3 linked regions of the Ovis aries genome follow. The protein of the gene in region 3 purifies or fractionates together with the protein of the main gene of each other region. This does not show direct contact. Links are inferred from orthologs where the notes say so. Each region holds a gene or a part of one and is shown on either strand. Other genes may lie near its edges.

The links.
Region 1: the proteins of MAP3K5 (region 3) and ARRB1 purify together in Homo sapiens (affinity purification with western blotting; 3 studies listed by BioGRID and IntAct, with this or other methods). This does not show direct contact. The link is inferred for Ovis aries from reciprocal best matches to the Homo sapiens genes MAP3K5 and ARRB1.
Region 2: the proteins of MAP3K5 (region 3) and MAP2K3 purify together in Homo sapiens (co-immunoprecipitation; 4 studies listed by BioGRID and IntAct, with this or other methods). This does not show direct contact. The link is inferred for Ovis aries from reciprocal best matches to the Homo sapiens genes MAP3K5 and MAP2K3.

The regions. Positions count from the first base shown.
Region 1 is NC_056068.1:53,204,804-53,209,413, reverse strand, and holds part of ARRB1 (beta-arrestin-1), read left to right. Parts: coding exon 1-34; intron 35-830; coding exon 831-882; intron 883-2,185; coding exon 2,186-2,297; 3' UTR 2,298-4,610. UniProt on the Homo sapiens protein: Functions in regulating agonist-mediated G-protein coupled receptor (GPCR) signaling by mediating both receptor desensitization and resensitization processes.
Region 2 is NC_056064.1:35,006,364-35,010,973, reverse strand, and holds part of MAP2K3 (dual specificity mitogen-activated protein kinase kinase 3), read right to left. Parts: intron 4,447-4,610; coding exon 4,380-4,446; intron 4,112-4,379; coding exon 4,063-4,111; intron 3,338-4,062; coding exon 3,224-3,337; intron 3,128-3,223; coding exon 3,008-3,127; intron 2,610-3,007; coding exon 2,493-2,609; intron 1,613-2,492; coding exon 1,561-1,612; intron 474-1,560; coding exon 346-473; intron 1-345. UniProt on the Homo sapiens protein: Dual specificity kinase. Is activated by cytokines and environmental stress in vivo. Catalyzes the concomitant phosphorylation of a threonine and a tyrosine residue in the MAP kinase p38.
Region 3 is NC_056061.1:62,061,156-62,066,512, forward strand, and holds the start of MAP3K5 (mitogen-activated protein kinase kinase kinase 5), read right to left. Parts: upstream 3,169-5,357; 5' UTR 2,923-3,168; coding exon 2,499-2,922; exon of another isoform or gene 1-2,498. UniProt on the Homo sapiens protein: Serine/threonine kinase which acts as an essential component of the MAP kinase signal transduction pathway. Plays an important role in the cascades of cellular responses evoked by changes in the environment.

The sequences.
Region 1 (4,610 bases), on a different chromosome or scaffold from region 3:
CCCAAGCCCAAAGAGGAACCCTCACATCGGGAAGGTAAGCAGAATCTGTGGGTTCTTGGGATAGGGTTTCCCTGTCACCCCGCCTCTCACTGAGTCAGCCTTCAGCCCAGGGTCACCCCTCTTCCCCAGTTCACAGGATCTTTTGTGAGGCCCACACTCCTATTTGTATCTGACTCCCCAGTAGACAGAAAGGTCTGGCTCTGTTCTCTGTGGGCTGGGGGTGGTGAGGGTGGTGGGAAGGGCCATGTCAGGAGCCCTTGTCTCGCGCATCCAGGGACAGTTGAATGGTCTGCATGGATAGGATGATATCTGGGCACACCATCCCGGTGATATTTCCAAGTGATACCAGATTGGTCATATTTCATTAAACCTAAGACTGTTTCAGTCAAAAGAGACATTGTAGCACGTACTACAAAGAAAGAAAAATGTCCCCATAATTAAACTATGACATGCCAATGACTGTAAAACAAACCGCAAGTTCAGAGATGTGAAAATGTGAGTAAATAGTTATATTAGAGTTAGTGAGTCAGGCATGCAACAAAGGAATCTCAGTTGTGTTGGAGACATGCCAAAAAGAGCAGGGTCCAGAGATTTTCCCTTCCCCTGGTGCTGCTCCCTGGCCCTCCTTGGCTCTCCCTGGACCCTCCTCCCTGCATTTAAGCTGATTTGAGGTGTTTCTGAGACCAGGGACCAGCCCTGGCTTCCTCACTCCCGCTTTTTCCTTTCCCTCCCCTACCTTAGCTTAGTTGTCCCGGGGTGAGGACCTGTGCCCACCTGCCCCCTCACTCACTCGCCAGTAACCCGTGGGCGGTCATCTGCCCTGTGTTTAGTTCCAGAGCACGAGACGCCAGTAGATACCAATCTCATAGAACTTGACACCAAGTAAGCAGAACCCTGCCTGCAGACATGGGCGGGGTGGGCCTTGGGAGGTGGGCGGGGCTGCCTGGTTATATGCATTTATGCTAATTAACCCCGAGGAGCAGTGGTCTAACCCATCTGCTGAGAGCTGCCTCTGCTCGCCTCTTCAGCAACCCGCTTGCCTGCATGTGACTTGAAGGACCCTCGGTGCCTGTTCCTCTTCCTCCTGCCTTGGTGGGGTCTGTCTTCCTCCCTCGTCCTTGCACGTCCGTCAGTCCGTCAGTCCATTCGTCCATCCACAGCACCTGCTCGGCTGTCACAGGGCTGGTTTGTGGCCCTGGGCTGGGACCCTCCTACTTGGCTGGTGTCCAGCCAGTGGAATCAGGCTGTGGGGTGGGGAAGGTTCTGGGGATCTTCTTGTTTCTGACTCGTGAGGACCAGTATGGATGGCCCTGTGGTCAAAGGCTGTCACCTCACAGGACAGTGGCCAGAGGGGAGGACCTGGGCAAACATGAACCACCTCCAGGTCCAAGCAGCTTTCTCGCTCCAGCTCCAAATCTATGCTTCCTTTGTCCTCTAGGAGATGTGTCGGGTCTTAAGTCAGCCCATGGAGGATACCCCGTGCAGTTGGCTGAATTCTGTGGGGCTGGGGCCTGGAGAGTGGGCCCATGTGGACATGTTTTATTAGTAGAAGGGAGCTCACTGTTCTTAGAGGCAGCCCCTCTGGAACCCCTCTCAGGCACCCTCTTTCTCCACTCATATTTTTTCTGCTCCCCACCCTTATTGGGCTTTGCCTAGCCCCCACCCCAGCCCCCACAGACCCTGTGTATCCAATATCCCTCAGGGTAGAATGTGAGCTGACATTTCCTTGGAGAAAGGGCCTTTGGGGTTTTCTCAGAAAACAGGAATGCTTCCTGAGGGTAGTTCTTGGGTGGGGGCGTGTTCTTGGGGGACTCAGAATATGCTGTGAAACTGCTGTCGGCCTGGCCTCTTTGTGGAAATAAGTTCCTCCTCTGGCCCTAACCCTGCCTCACTCCCCGCCCCCACCCACAATTTGATGTGTGCCTGAACCCCAGCTTCTCAAGAGCTGGGTCGATTTCCAGCCCTTAGCAAACTCAGGCCTCCCTCTGGTATTTCTGCAACTGGCTGGTCCCACTGTCATTGATGGGCATCCAGATGTGCTGGCCTGGCAGGCCTTTCTATCCAAGACCAGTCCCAGAGGCCGGCCTCTGGGTCCTGCTGGGCTGTGCAGGCCCTCCGACCCCTCTGAGTAAACCTCCTCTCCCTGCCCTGCAAACACGCCTGTTTTCCTTGTCTTTCCCACCAGCGATGACGACATTGTGTTTGAGGACTTTGCCCGCCAGAGACTAAAAGGCATGAAGGATGACAAGGAGGAAGAGGAGGATGGTACCGGCTCTCCGCGGCTCAACGACAGATAGACTGGAGCCGCCCTCCCTCCGGGCAGCTCCAGGTCCACTCTCATGCGCTAGGATGCTTGTTCGTCTTCTTCCTGTCCTGACTCCCCCTCCCCTTTGTTCTTCCAGTTTCTACCAGGGGGCCCAGCGGTCTTCCAGGTCACGATGGGAACCCCTGGCCTCAGGATTGGCCCCCATCACCATGCCAACTGGGCCACAGGCAACACCCTCACCCTCTCACCGCATCACTTCTCCATCCCTCCTCTTTTCCTGTTGACCCCTAGACAGGCCAGCACGGCTCTGGCCTTAGAATTTGACTTGGGATGGGGAGCAGAAAGGGGAAGATGGGGCACAAGGGCTTGGCGGGGTGGGGATGGAGGCTCAAGACACGTGAGAGGATGAGGCCACTGTCCCGGGTGATGAATACAGTTCTGGCAGCTAAAACATGACCGCTTTGAAGGCCACCCTCCTCTGGTTGGGAGGGGACAGGCCCATGGATAGATTTTCCACACAGTTTTGCTCGAAGTTCGGACCCACCAAACACCTGTCTTCTTCCTCCCTCGTCCCTGCCCCCGTCCCTCTGTGACTGACAGTGACCTTGGTGAAGGTTTGTAGACCCCAGGAATGGAGCAAAGCAGTTGGGCTGACTTTCTTACCTGCAGTTACCTAGTCTAAGGCAAGTCGTGTGAAGTAGCCCGAGTCTATGTCAGTATCATCAGGATGTAATATCCTAGCTGCCTGTATCTTGCCTGTGTGTCATCCGCAGATATGCACAGAGTGCGACAGAGAGAAGGGAGGGGCCTTCGGAAAGCACCAAGGTCTTGAGGAGGTGTCCTGAAGGGTGACTATGAGATGGGGGTGGGGTGAGAAGATGAGAGTCTGCCCAGCTCCCTTCCTTAAGAGGGATCAGCGATCTGGTGGGAAGCAAGACTGAAGGGCCAGAACGATTGAGGCCACCAATGTCTTCCTGCCCTTGCAGGTCTCCAGGGCTGGACTGGAAGAGAGCCCCTGAGACCACCGTGCCCACAGTCAAAGGGGGTCCTTCCATAGAAGGTAGCAAGGTCCACTGAGTTGTCCTTACCTAAAAGGAAGAGGGACTCTTTTGTTTCCTTGGGGAGCTGATGACCACCCCCCGCCAATACACACACACTCACACACACACACACACACAGTGATTCCCACTGTCATGGGTGTACAGTACCCATGGGCTGATGTTGGTGTGATTAGGACATGGGGCATACTTCCAGGGCAACGGGGCAGGCAGACGATGAGGCAGAAAGTGTTAAAAGTTAACTGTTTTTCTCTGACCTTTGATGCTCACTGCTGTGTGACTTTGGGCAAGTTCCTTTCCGTCTCTGGGCCTCAGTACTTCACCTAGAAAACCAAGGGGTTCGAGCAGATGATCACAAGGGGCCCTCCCAGCTCTGCCTCCAAGAATTTGTGAGCATTAGAGTTTCTGGTCTGGTGGGTGGAGCCAGAACCACTGATTCTGGTCTGTCTGCCACCAGTGAGGATCACTGAACCCGAGGGGTGGTGGGGCAATAGACAGCACCTAGCACCACCACCCTACACCCACTCCAGGCCGAAGAAGGGCCCTTCTAAGGTCCCTAGACTGGGCCAGGGTGAAGGGTTGCCTGATGTCAAGCTGTGGCTGTAGTTAGCATGAGCCGCTTGGCCCTAGGGACCAAGTATTACAGAAGGTATTGTATTTGCTTGTATTTGCTGAGGCGTGGCAGGGGGAGGGGAGGAGAGCTTGCGATAGACACGGTACTACTTCACACCCTCTTTGGATGTCCTGAAGTTTGCCTCATATCCAAGCAGATGTATTGATTAGCAGGGCAAGGGGATCTCTTCCTCCTTTCTGTCTGTGTCCCATACTTGTGAAAAGGCAGATGGCCAAGTTTTATTATATAAGCTGGATCTCAGCTCTTCAGTTCAGCCCCTCCTGGGATGGACTTTGCAACCCTTTTCCATGGTGAAATTACCCAGTTCATATGCCTGGCACTGCACCCCCGCCCTTCCCTGCTGAATCTCACTCCAGGGACCCCCACACTAGGTCAGAAACAAGCCAGCTTGGGACAGTCGCACTCCCCCAGTCAATCCTAGGGTCCCAGCTGCATCCAGTCCCTCCCAGAGCTTGCTGGACAGTTTGTACCTCATTGGGCAGCTGGAGAGTTAATGAACTGTTGGAACAAGGTGTGGCAAGCATACGCTCTTCAGGGTTGCCTTCTGGAACCTTTGGGGCTGGTACAAGACCCTTTAGGATATGTGGTGATCACTTACCTACAAATAGACCTTTCTCCATGTCCCTAACGCAGTCACACAAAAGCTTTGTCA
Region 2 (4,610 bases), on a different chromosome or scaffold from region 3:
ACCCATCCTACCTCCCCCAGAGCAAGTGTGGAAGCTGAGGCTGGTGAGGGCCGGGGTCTCGAGGTGGAAGCCTAAGTCTTGCCACACAGCTGCCACACCTGGGGGTCTCACCTTGGGGTATCAGCAACTCCCACAGGCCCCACCAGCCACCCCGCTGAGGTGAAACCTATCATCCAAATGGACACGGTGGGGCCAGTCAGAAAGGGGTGGAGAGGGCTGAGCAGGAGACTCCCTCTAGAAGGAAATTCGGGGTCTGGGGAGGCCTCATTCCTGATGGAGCAGGACACAGCTAAGGTGCCTGAGCCTGGCTGTTTCCTCTGGGCATGACCTGGGCACCCCACTTACGGCCATGTAGGGTTTGCAGCCAGCATCCATTGTCTTAGCCACAGAATCCACCAAGTAACCACTGATCCCAAAGTCACACATCTTCACGTGGCCCTCCTTGTTGATAAGGACATTGGATGGCTTCACATCTGCCAGAAGTAGGACACGCCTTTCAGCTACTGGTTGTTGGCCCCCACTGCCCAGGTCAGAGCTGGTAGCCACACAGTCAGGAGCCCCAGCCTCCAGCCACAGGTGGGGAGAGAAGTTAGCTCCAGGGCTTCCCCCAGGACCGTGTCTTTGCAGCTTCACAGTTGGGACTCAGCCTCCACTTACCAGTGCAACCTCTGGCTCTGGGGTCCACCCAAATGCAGGGAACCCATCACTAACAGTATGAGCACTGTAAACCACCCAATATCCACCTTGAGGGGTCGGCAGTCTTGGCCAGGAAGCACAAGGCAACAGCTCAAACACGGGAGGCAGGTCTGTGGGAAATCCCAGAGCCCCAGGACTCAAGCTGGACATGGAGTGGGCACAGAGTGAGCTAGGGGGCACAGCGGGGCCGTCCAGCAAGCACACGCACGGGAGACATGTGCATCCCTCCTGCCTTTTACAAGGACATCTGCAGGGGCTCAGAGAGACGCCCAAAGGGGCCACGAAAACCTGCCAATAGCAGTGACCTGGGGACCACTCAGTGGTCAAAGGGGCTTAGCCCAGTGAACTCTGTGTGGAAAAGCAGACCCCTCAGAACACAGAGGGAGGGGACAGGCAGGACACACACAGCCCCACTGAGTCTCAGAATCATTGGCCCAACTGGGAGGCTGAGAACAAGCAAAACCAACCCCCATGAGAAAATCAGTGGAGTCGGGGACTGGGGCGTCACAGGGCAAGAAAGGGAGGGGAGGGTGGGCGTGACCCAGTATAAACGATGATCGGATTCGTGCAGCAGTACACATCCCACCTGCACACTCCTCAACACGTAAACAATACGTCAAGACAAGATGGGCTGGCCTTCCCAGGATGAAGATCAACCCTGTCCGTGCTCTGAGCACCAGGGAACAAAACTGGGACTGGGCCTGGGGGCTGACAGAAATGGCTGAGAGGAGTGGACAGCGGCCTGGACCCAGCGGGCACATTGCGGCCTGTCGCCTCCCAGAGCCTTGGCACTGGTCCCGGCAGGACCATGGGGACGTGTACGTGAGGCCAGGCCCCTCCTCCCCAGCCAGTCCAGGCACTGACCTCTATGGATCACGGACAGCTTGCTGTGCAGATGTTCCAGGGCCCTCACGATCTGGTGTTTGGGATGAGAGGTGGAGAGAGACAGGTCCATCAACAGTGACAGAGCCAGAAGGCTCCCCAGCCAGGGCGGTCTGTCGCCCTCTCCCAGGTCACACCCAGCCCCTCACCACCTGAGGCTCCCGCCCACATCCCAGCCTTTGCTGTAATGTCCTGGCCACCCTGATACTGATACACCTGGTTCCTGCACTGCTCTGAATGGGCCAGGGTCTCAGGTGATGTGACCAAGACCCTGGCGAGTCTGACTTATGAACCCCCAGAATGCTGTCCCTCCCTCCACCAGACTCCTGGGTAGAATCTGGCCCTTCTGCAGCGGGCTTGCATCCACCGCCCCCTCCCCTACCAGCAGTCACTGGGCTACATGCTCAGAGCCACTCCCCACAGGAATCACCCCAAAGATCCTGACTCAACGCCCTGGGCGGGGGGGGTATGTTTACATGTTCACAGCTGCGGTCAGGGATGAGGACCACAGGTACACAGACCCCATTCCCCTTCTGCTTTGGCTGTTGGGTGCTCATGCCCAGGGAGCCGCCTGCCCTAGGACATGCAAGCTCAAGACCCGTGGTTTTCTCCCCTGACCACATGCCTCTGCGAGCTGCCTCCAAGCATCTTCAGGATAAGGAAGCTGTGAACACTAAGTTCTCTTCTGTGGCCTCAAAACTCAGGAACTGCACAGGAAGGCCCAGAGATCCTGGTTCTGCCAAATCGGTGTGGCTCCAGGGCCCTGGGGTCTCCTGAGCAGGCTCTGGTCCAGGGTGGGGGCACCTGGGGCTTCCAAGGGCAACTGCCCAGCTGCAGGGCCACAGCTGGAGGCCACACGGGGGGCCCAGCTCTGCCCAAAACACTACCATTGGGACCCCCCCAACCCCACTTACAGACACAGCGATCTCCCCAAGAATGTCTTCTGGAATCGTCATGCCCTTGTCTAGCACCTTCCGATAGAACTTGTCCAGGGACGTGTCCATGAGCTCCATGCAGATCCACACATCTCCCTGCAGGTAGATAGCCATAGTTCAGCCACATCTGCCCAGGGCTACCTGGCCCAGCATCCTCCCCATGGAGCCAGCCAGCCCCTGACACACCTCCACCCCTCAGCCCTCAGGGGTTCTCTGACCTCCCAGCCCCTCCCCGACAAGGCTCGCCTACACTGCTGGGTCCACGCGGCAGCCTTCCCCGACTGTCACACTGGCTGTCCCCCATCAGACTCCTACTTCCACGGCTCATCCCAGCTCTGACCCTGGCCGATGGGTCCCTTCACCGGCAACATACTGTCCCCACCCCCACACCCCATCCAGGACAGCCTTCTGAGAAGGCTGGGTGCAGCATCCCCTGGGGTAAGCCCGAGCTCCTGGGCTCCCTGCCAGAGGGGAGGCTGGCTGTGTCTCCTCACCTCTCTAAAGAGGGCCCCGTAGAAGGTGACGGTATAGAAACAGTCCACTGTGCGCATGTTGACATCCAGGTCCATGAGCAGGCGCTTCTGCTCCTGAGAGTTCACGGTGGCTCGGATGCGCTGCGGGGGGAGGGGCTGCGGTTAGAGCCCGGGCCGCAGGGGTGCAGCCCCAGGTGCCCCCGGCTCTGATGGCCCTGGGTCGGGGACACTGCTCACCTTCACGGCCATGATGGTGCCACTCTGGGCATGCCGCACCTTCTCCACCACCCCATAGGCACCTCGGCCCAGCTCTGAAATGGTCACCAGGTCATCCGCCTCCACCTCAAAGTTCTTAGGGGACAGAAAGGAGAGAGGGTTCAGAAGGGCCAAGTCAGGCACCAGTGGAGATGCTGGGGCAGCAGAAAGAGAATCACCAGCCAGTCACCTGTGCTCAAGTCTTGCACCAGCCACTTCTGCTGTGTGTCCTGGGGTAAGTCATGTAACCTCTCTGAGCCTCCCCTCACCTTCTCTAAAACAGGCACAGCACCCACATCAGAAGGCTACTACAGGGTGTCAGCACATCAGCCTGGGAAACACTCTCAGCGGTGCTGGGCCCTAAAGAGATGCCCTTTTCCTCTCGCCCCACCCTCTTAGGTGGCCAGACTCACTTATTCATCACCTACAGTGTGTAAGTCCCTGTTTCAGGCTCTGAGGACACAGACAGGACAAAAGAAAGGCCTTGTCTCCCAGGGAGCAGCGGGGCCCTGGTCGCCCACCCTCCCTCTTGACCTGCTGCCAGAGGAAGCAAGCAGGCAGATGAACAAGACTCGTCAGCATGTCCTGTGGGCAGCACACGGCCTCCCAGGGGAACCACTGGCGTCGGGAGGTGCCAGTGAAATGCAGGCCCTTTGGGCAGAGCCAGGGATCTGCACACTGAGCACCGTGACTCTAGCTCCCCAGGGCCCAGGAGGTAGCCACCAGATGGGCCACCTGGTCAGCGTCGGGGAGCCAGCCCCCCTCCACAGCCCAGCTCTGTCTCCACCCACAGACACCTCCCAGGGTCTATTGACACCTACCCTGTCTCCAATGGTGATGAAAGCCCGGGAGTCCAGGTTCCGGGGGAGCCTGCAGGGGAGAGCGGAGGTGTGAGCCCCAGAGAGCTCTGCCCTCTCAAGGGGGTCCCCGCCCTCCCCCACAGTCACCAAGCATCTGCGGGGCAGCACATGGCCTGTCACATGGACATGCCCTCAGAAAGGCAAGGAGAGCTCCGAGAGGACATGTGAGGCACACAGCCCCCGCAGCTGCTTGGAGAAGATGCCGCCCGCACAGGCGGCCTGGCCCCCACAGTGGCCCCTGCAGGAGGCCTTCCAGGAAGCACCAGAGGCCAACTCACGTGGGGCTGGGCGCCGGCGGCTTGGACATGCAGGAGATTCGTAAATCCTTTTTCCTCCTGGACTTTCCTAAAAGGGAGAGAAGGGAGCGTGCAGTCAATCACTGGTCAACCAACATCCCCAGGGACAGAGAGGGACAGGCCCCAAGGGCCCGGCACTGACACAGATGCCAAGGGCCACTGTGGTCAGTGCCAGGATGGGACCCCAAGGCCTCCGGGCACCCACAGGACATG
Region 3 (5,357 bases):
AGTTCTTCCCACTATGTCATAACCATTCAACTTTCAAGCGGCAGTAGTAGATGTAGAGAAGAGGTCAGCATGGGGCCAAAACCTTACCAGGCCTGTTTTTGTAAGGCCTGCAAGCTAGGAATGGTTTTTCTATTTTTTACATGGTTAAGAAAAAAAAAGAAAAATCAAAAGAATATCACTTTGTGAATAATATGAGATATAAATTTCATAAATCTGACAACATCCATTAACCAAATTTTGTTGGAATACAGCCATGATGATTTATTTAGGTCCTCTTTATGGCTCCGCTTGAGTAACACCTGCAGAGCCGAGGAGGTGTGAGAGACACCTCCAGCGAAATCTACAACGTTTATGCCATCTGGCCCTTTACAGAGGACAAGCAAGTGCTCTCTTAGAAATCAGAAGTCGAGTTCTACTACTGTTCACCTTGGCCTCCCTCAGTTTAGAAAACAAAACCGATACCATTTTCATTCTGCCACATCTTCAACGTTTTCTTGCTGAATGAGAGACCTGAGGGTTCATGTCACAGGCAGGGGTGAAACTGGGGCCTGCCTAGTTGAGCTCACCAGTGGGATGGGACAGAGCTGGCCCGGAAACACTGGTCTCCCTAAAATGTGCCCTCCTCCCCACTATTCCACAAAGCACACAATGGCTCACAGGGTCCCTGCCAGCTCTCTACCATGAGTTTGACGTTTCCCTCTCTTAATTCTGAGAATAAATCAGTCCAGCTAAATGGACGTAGCAAGGGTGAAGCCGGACCTTTTAGAGTCAGGCACTCAAAGTGGGACCCTCCATTGACCAGTTATTATCCATGACCTTGAACCAGTGATGGAGCCCTTGGTTTTCTCATCTAAGAAGATAGCTAAGTACTACTTCCCTCATAGGCTTGTTTGGAGTATTAAATGAGATACATTTCAAATGTCTGGTACCTTCTAATCTTTCTCTCTCCCTTTCCCAGAGATAGTATTTGGAGAATAAACATTACATGAACCTTGTTAGGAAAGTCTTTCAAATTAGCTTAAAGATTATTTTATAAAAAAAATACCCAATCTATCAAAACAATAAAAATAGGTTTAGCATTTCATTGGGTGTTTTCCTCATATATCTTTCAGTTCTTTGAAGCTTTTTCCAAATTATAATTCAAAAATAAAAATGCTGTAATTTTTAGAAATGTTATATTTATGTAATTTTTACAGCAAGTCACACAAAGAACCGAGCTAAACTATGTTCTACCCATGTCCAGTTATGAAGACTAAGATGGTAAAATACACCAGAACCAGAAAATCCTAGTTTATTTAATCTGGCTTCCTTAACATGAAGTTCTTGTTCTTAAAATATTCAGTTTTGGCTGAATTCCAAGACTGACATAAGCCTTCTTCAGGTGTTCTGAAAAGACTGAAGAGAATCAGAACTGGAAACAAGATTGGAATATAAAACCTTCTATGTGATCACAATGCAAGAAACTTATTGTCTGAAAGCACCATTAAATCAAATTTTATGCCCACACTTATTAAAAAAAATGTATATATTCTCAACATTGGTTGTACAGGGTGCTAAAGGTTAATTTCAGTAACATGCTTTTATCTCTAACATTTGCTAGCAGATAGCAAATTGCTTCAGTCACTTGAATCGCAGTGACACTTTCTGAAATCTGTAATAGGCTGAAAAGATTTTTTTTCGTGAATTACTCTAGCAGTCACTTTAATGGGCACACTTTAATGGCCAACCTAACTTAGTTACTAAAACTGCATATCAGCGTTTTACATAATGTTAAATTATCTACTTGCCAGCCCATCGGGGTATATGGAGTCATAAAAAACATACTCTGCTCTTTTTCACCAAAATTCCAACAGAGATATCTCGCAAGTTTAGTGTCAAGTTACAAAAGTTGCTTTTCAAAGTAATTACTTGACAATTCAAATTGGTAAGAGATGGGAAATCAAGCCACTAAACTTCAGGGAAAGGGAGTTGGGAAGATCGTGACATAACATGCAAATTCACACAGATCCACTCTGCGTGCAGCTGGCTGCGTGGCAGAAGTCAGAATTTTTGTACTCTCAAAAGTACACGGAAAAAAATGAGGACATCTTCTAAAACAGGCACAGGTATATATAGAAGGAAAATGTGGGCCAAATCTAACAGAAGAGAAACCAAAACACTGAATAGGGCAGGGCTGACTGGGACAAGTAACTCGCACTGCAGGCGAACAGAAGTTCTTCAAGAGGACCACACGCACCCCTGGATTCCCAGAGCGGGCCGGCGGCCGGGGGGTCAGATTCTCTGCCACAAGCTGCGAGCGAGCCGAGCAGTCACGCAGCGCCGCTCACTGCCCCTAAGGTGGGGCAAGAAGTAAATAAGTAAGATGCTCGATTGCTGCCCAGAAACTGATCGATTTTTTCTACGGGAGCAGGGGGGTGGGGGTGGGAAACAACAGCTTTCCCCCTGCGGTGGCCCCCGACCGCGGAGGCTGGGGCCCTGCATTGTAAAGTCGCACGCACCTGCATTGTAAAATCGGTCCAGCACCGCAGTTTCTCCAAAGTCCAGTTTCCCAAAATGCAGGGTCTCCAGGGCGGCGCCCACCGTCTCGCACGCCTCCCGCAGGCACTGCAGGGCCTCGCTCTCGGCCACCACCAGCTGCCCCTGGCTCGCCTCGTTGATGACATAGGCCACCGTGGTCCGTCGGCCGCCTCCGCCCCCAGAGTTGCCCCGGCACCGGGTGGCGCTGCTCCCAGCGGTGGCACTGGGACACCCGGCGCCGGGAGCGGCGGCACTTTCCACGTTCCAGAAGCTGCCCGGTGGCGGCGGTGGCAGCTGGGTCTCCTCGCCCTCGGCCGCCGTCGCCGCTCCTCCCCTCCGGTAGCTGCCGCCCTCGGCGAAGGGCGGCACGGAGAAAGTGATGCCCTCGCCCGCCTCCGCGCTCATCTCTCCCGGCCGGACTGCCGCGGCGGCGTCTCCCGCCCAGCCGCACCGTCTGGCCAGCCACAGTTCGGGGCTGCTCCGTGCGCGCCTTGCTAAGCAGCTGCCATCCCGCGTTGCGCCTTCCGCGCCGCGCCGCCGCCTCCTCTCCGGCGCCCTCTCCCCCGAAGGGACGCCGCTGCCCGGCGGCGGCTCGCCCCTCCTCGGCGCCTCCGTGGCCGCGCCGCTCGCCCGCTGCAGGGTGTAGAGTACAAGGGGTGGGGAGCCGGGCTGAGCGGGAAGGGACAGGGCTTCCTTTTCTTGGCCGGCGGACAAGTCGGCTCGCGAACCTGCTAGGCGGTGCGGCTCAAGGGCGCCGCTCTCCGGGTGCGGTGCGCCCTGGCCACCCGGGAACGCGGTCCCGGCTCCTTCCGTGCCGGGCACCCTGGGAGGGGCCGGGGAGGGCGCCCTCTGGGTGGGGAGCTACCTGGCCAGCACCTCGCGGGCGGGCAGACTCCCTGGACCGCGTCCCGGAACAGCGGCAGCAGCCGCCGAAGGGATCCGCCTCCTTCCTCGGCGGCAGCTCCCCTTCATCGGCTCTGTTTCCTCCTCCTGCCCCGGCCCCGTTCTCTTCCGATTGCCGCGGCCGCTTCGTCCCCGGCACCAGCCTGGTAGCTCGAGTCTCCCCGCTCCTTGAAGCCGCTCGCCCGGTCCGCCACCGGCTTTTTGCCGCCCACTCGTCGCGGCACCGAAAGTCTGGGCCCGCCCCGGGGGAGGGCGCTGCTGGGAAGCTCGAGTCCGGACGAAACCGACCGCGTCGCGGCTCCCGGACCACGGCCCAGCCCGGAGCACCGCGCGAGGCCAAGGTTCTCCTCCGTCACCCACTGGGCTCCCCACCCAAGACAACCTGGAGTAGGCAAAAGCCCGGAGAGCAGGCGACTATAGGATGGCACAAAAAAAGTCTCTCTTGCGAATACTCGGGTCTTAGCCAGCGCCAGGAGGCACGCGCCACGTTCCCCGTAACCACGGCGCCCTCCTCCGGCCGGTGCCGGCCTAGCACCGCCGTGCGGTCGGGTCCCATGTGCGCGCCGGGAGCAAGAGGGTAGCGTGGGGAGGCCCGCGTGGCGCTAGGCCCGAGGATTTTAACTACGGTCCTGCAGGCGGCCTCAACTGGAGAGTGGTGTATTGGTGACAGTGGCTCTGCGGGAGTGGCAGGCTGAATTTATCGGGTCTGCCCCTGGTACTTTACGTTTTCAAGTTTTCAATAGCTCTGCTGTCGTGAATCGGAGAAGGCGATGGCACCCCACTCCAGTACTCTTGCCTGGAAAATCCCATGGGCGGAGGAGCCTGGTAGGCTGCAGTCCATGGGGTCGCGAAGAGTCGGACACGACTGAGCGACCTCGCTTTTACTTTTCACTTTCATGCATTGGAGAAGGCAATGGCAACCCACCCCAGTGTTCTTGCCTGGAGAATCCCAGGGACGGGGGAGCCTGGTGGGCTGCCGTCTATGGGGTCGCACAGAGTTGGACACGACTTAGCAGCAGCAGCAGCAGCTGTCGTGAATAATTGATTAGCTCCGAGTGCTGAACGGTATAGTATTTGCATTCCCATTTGAGTTTATAAAATTTCCCCCAACGCACCGTATACTTACTTGAGTTAGAAAACCGGTTCTATCCTGGACTTGGCAAATCATCTATCTGCCAGATGAAAGAGGGAAATTAAGCAATTACTTCAATTTTTTTTAATTGCACTAGGGGTGGGGCTGGGGAGCGGGGAATGCCTGGCTTGCTTAAGAGCAATCAAAGAGTATCTACTTACTTGGGAAGTAAAAACATATGTGCAAGTTCTCAGAGAACTTCTCCAGAATGCTATAACTTTAGGAGAATCAGTGGAACCTACAGTGAAATAAAGTAATAGGTTTGGACTTTGCATCTCCAGGAAGCGAGATGATTAAGTTCTATGAAAAAGGTAGAAGAATACTGCAAATTACATGCAAGCTAGGCGGGAAGGGGTGCTTCCCTGCTGGGTCAGTGGTGAAGAATCCATCTGCCAGTGCCTGAGTGGTGGGTTCTGTCCCTGAGTGGGTAAGAAGGAAATGTCAACCCACTCCAGTATTCTTGCCTGAGAAATCCCATGGACAGAGGAGCTTGGCAAGCTACAGTCCATGGGGTTGCAAGTATCAGATGACTAAACAACAGGGGGAAAGGAGGGATAAAATAGTTAAGTAGGAAGGGGTTAAAAGAAGAAAGGAAATAATGAGGGGAAACACCTAGCAACTGAACAATTGTATCTGCACAACTGTATCCTCAATGAAGCCAAGTGACCTTAGCTTTTTCTAAAGATTTGTAAAATAATGGAAGTAAACTTCTGGTAAGGAAATTGCAATCTATGTGATCCACATCTGCTTTTGAACTTGATACCATAGGAAAATAGATATTTAACGAATTGCTGATCATACAGAA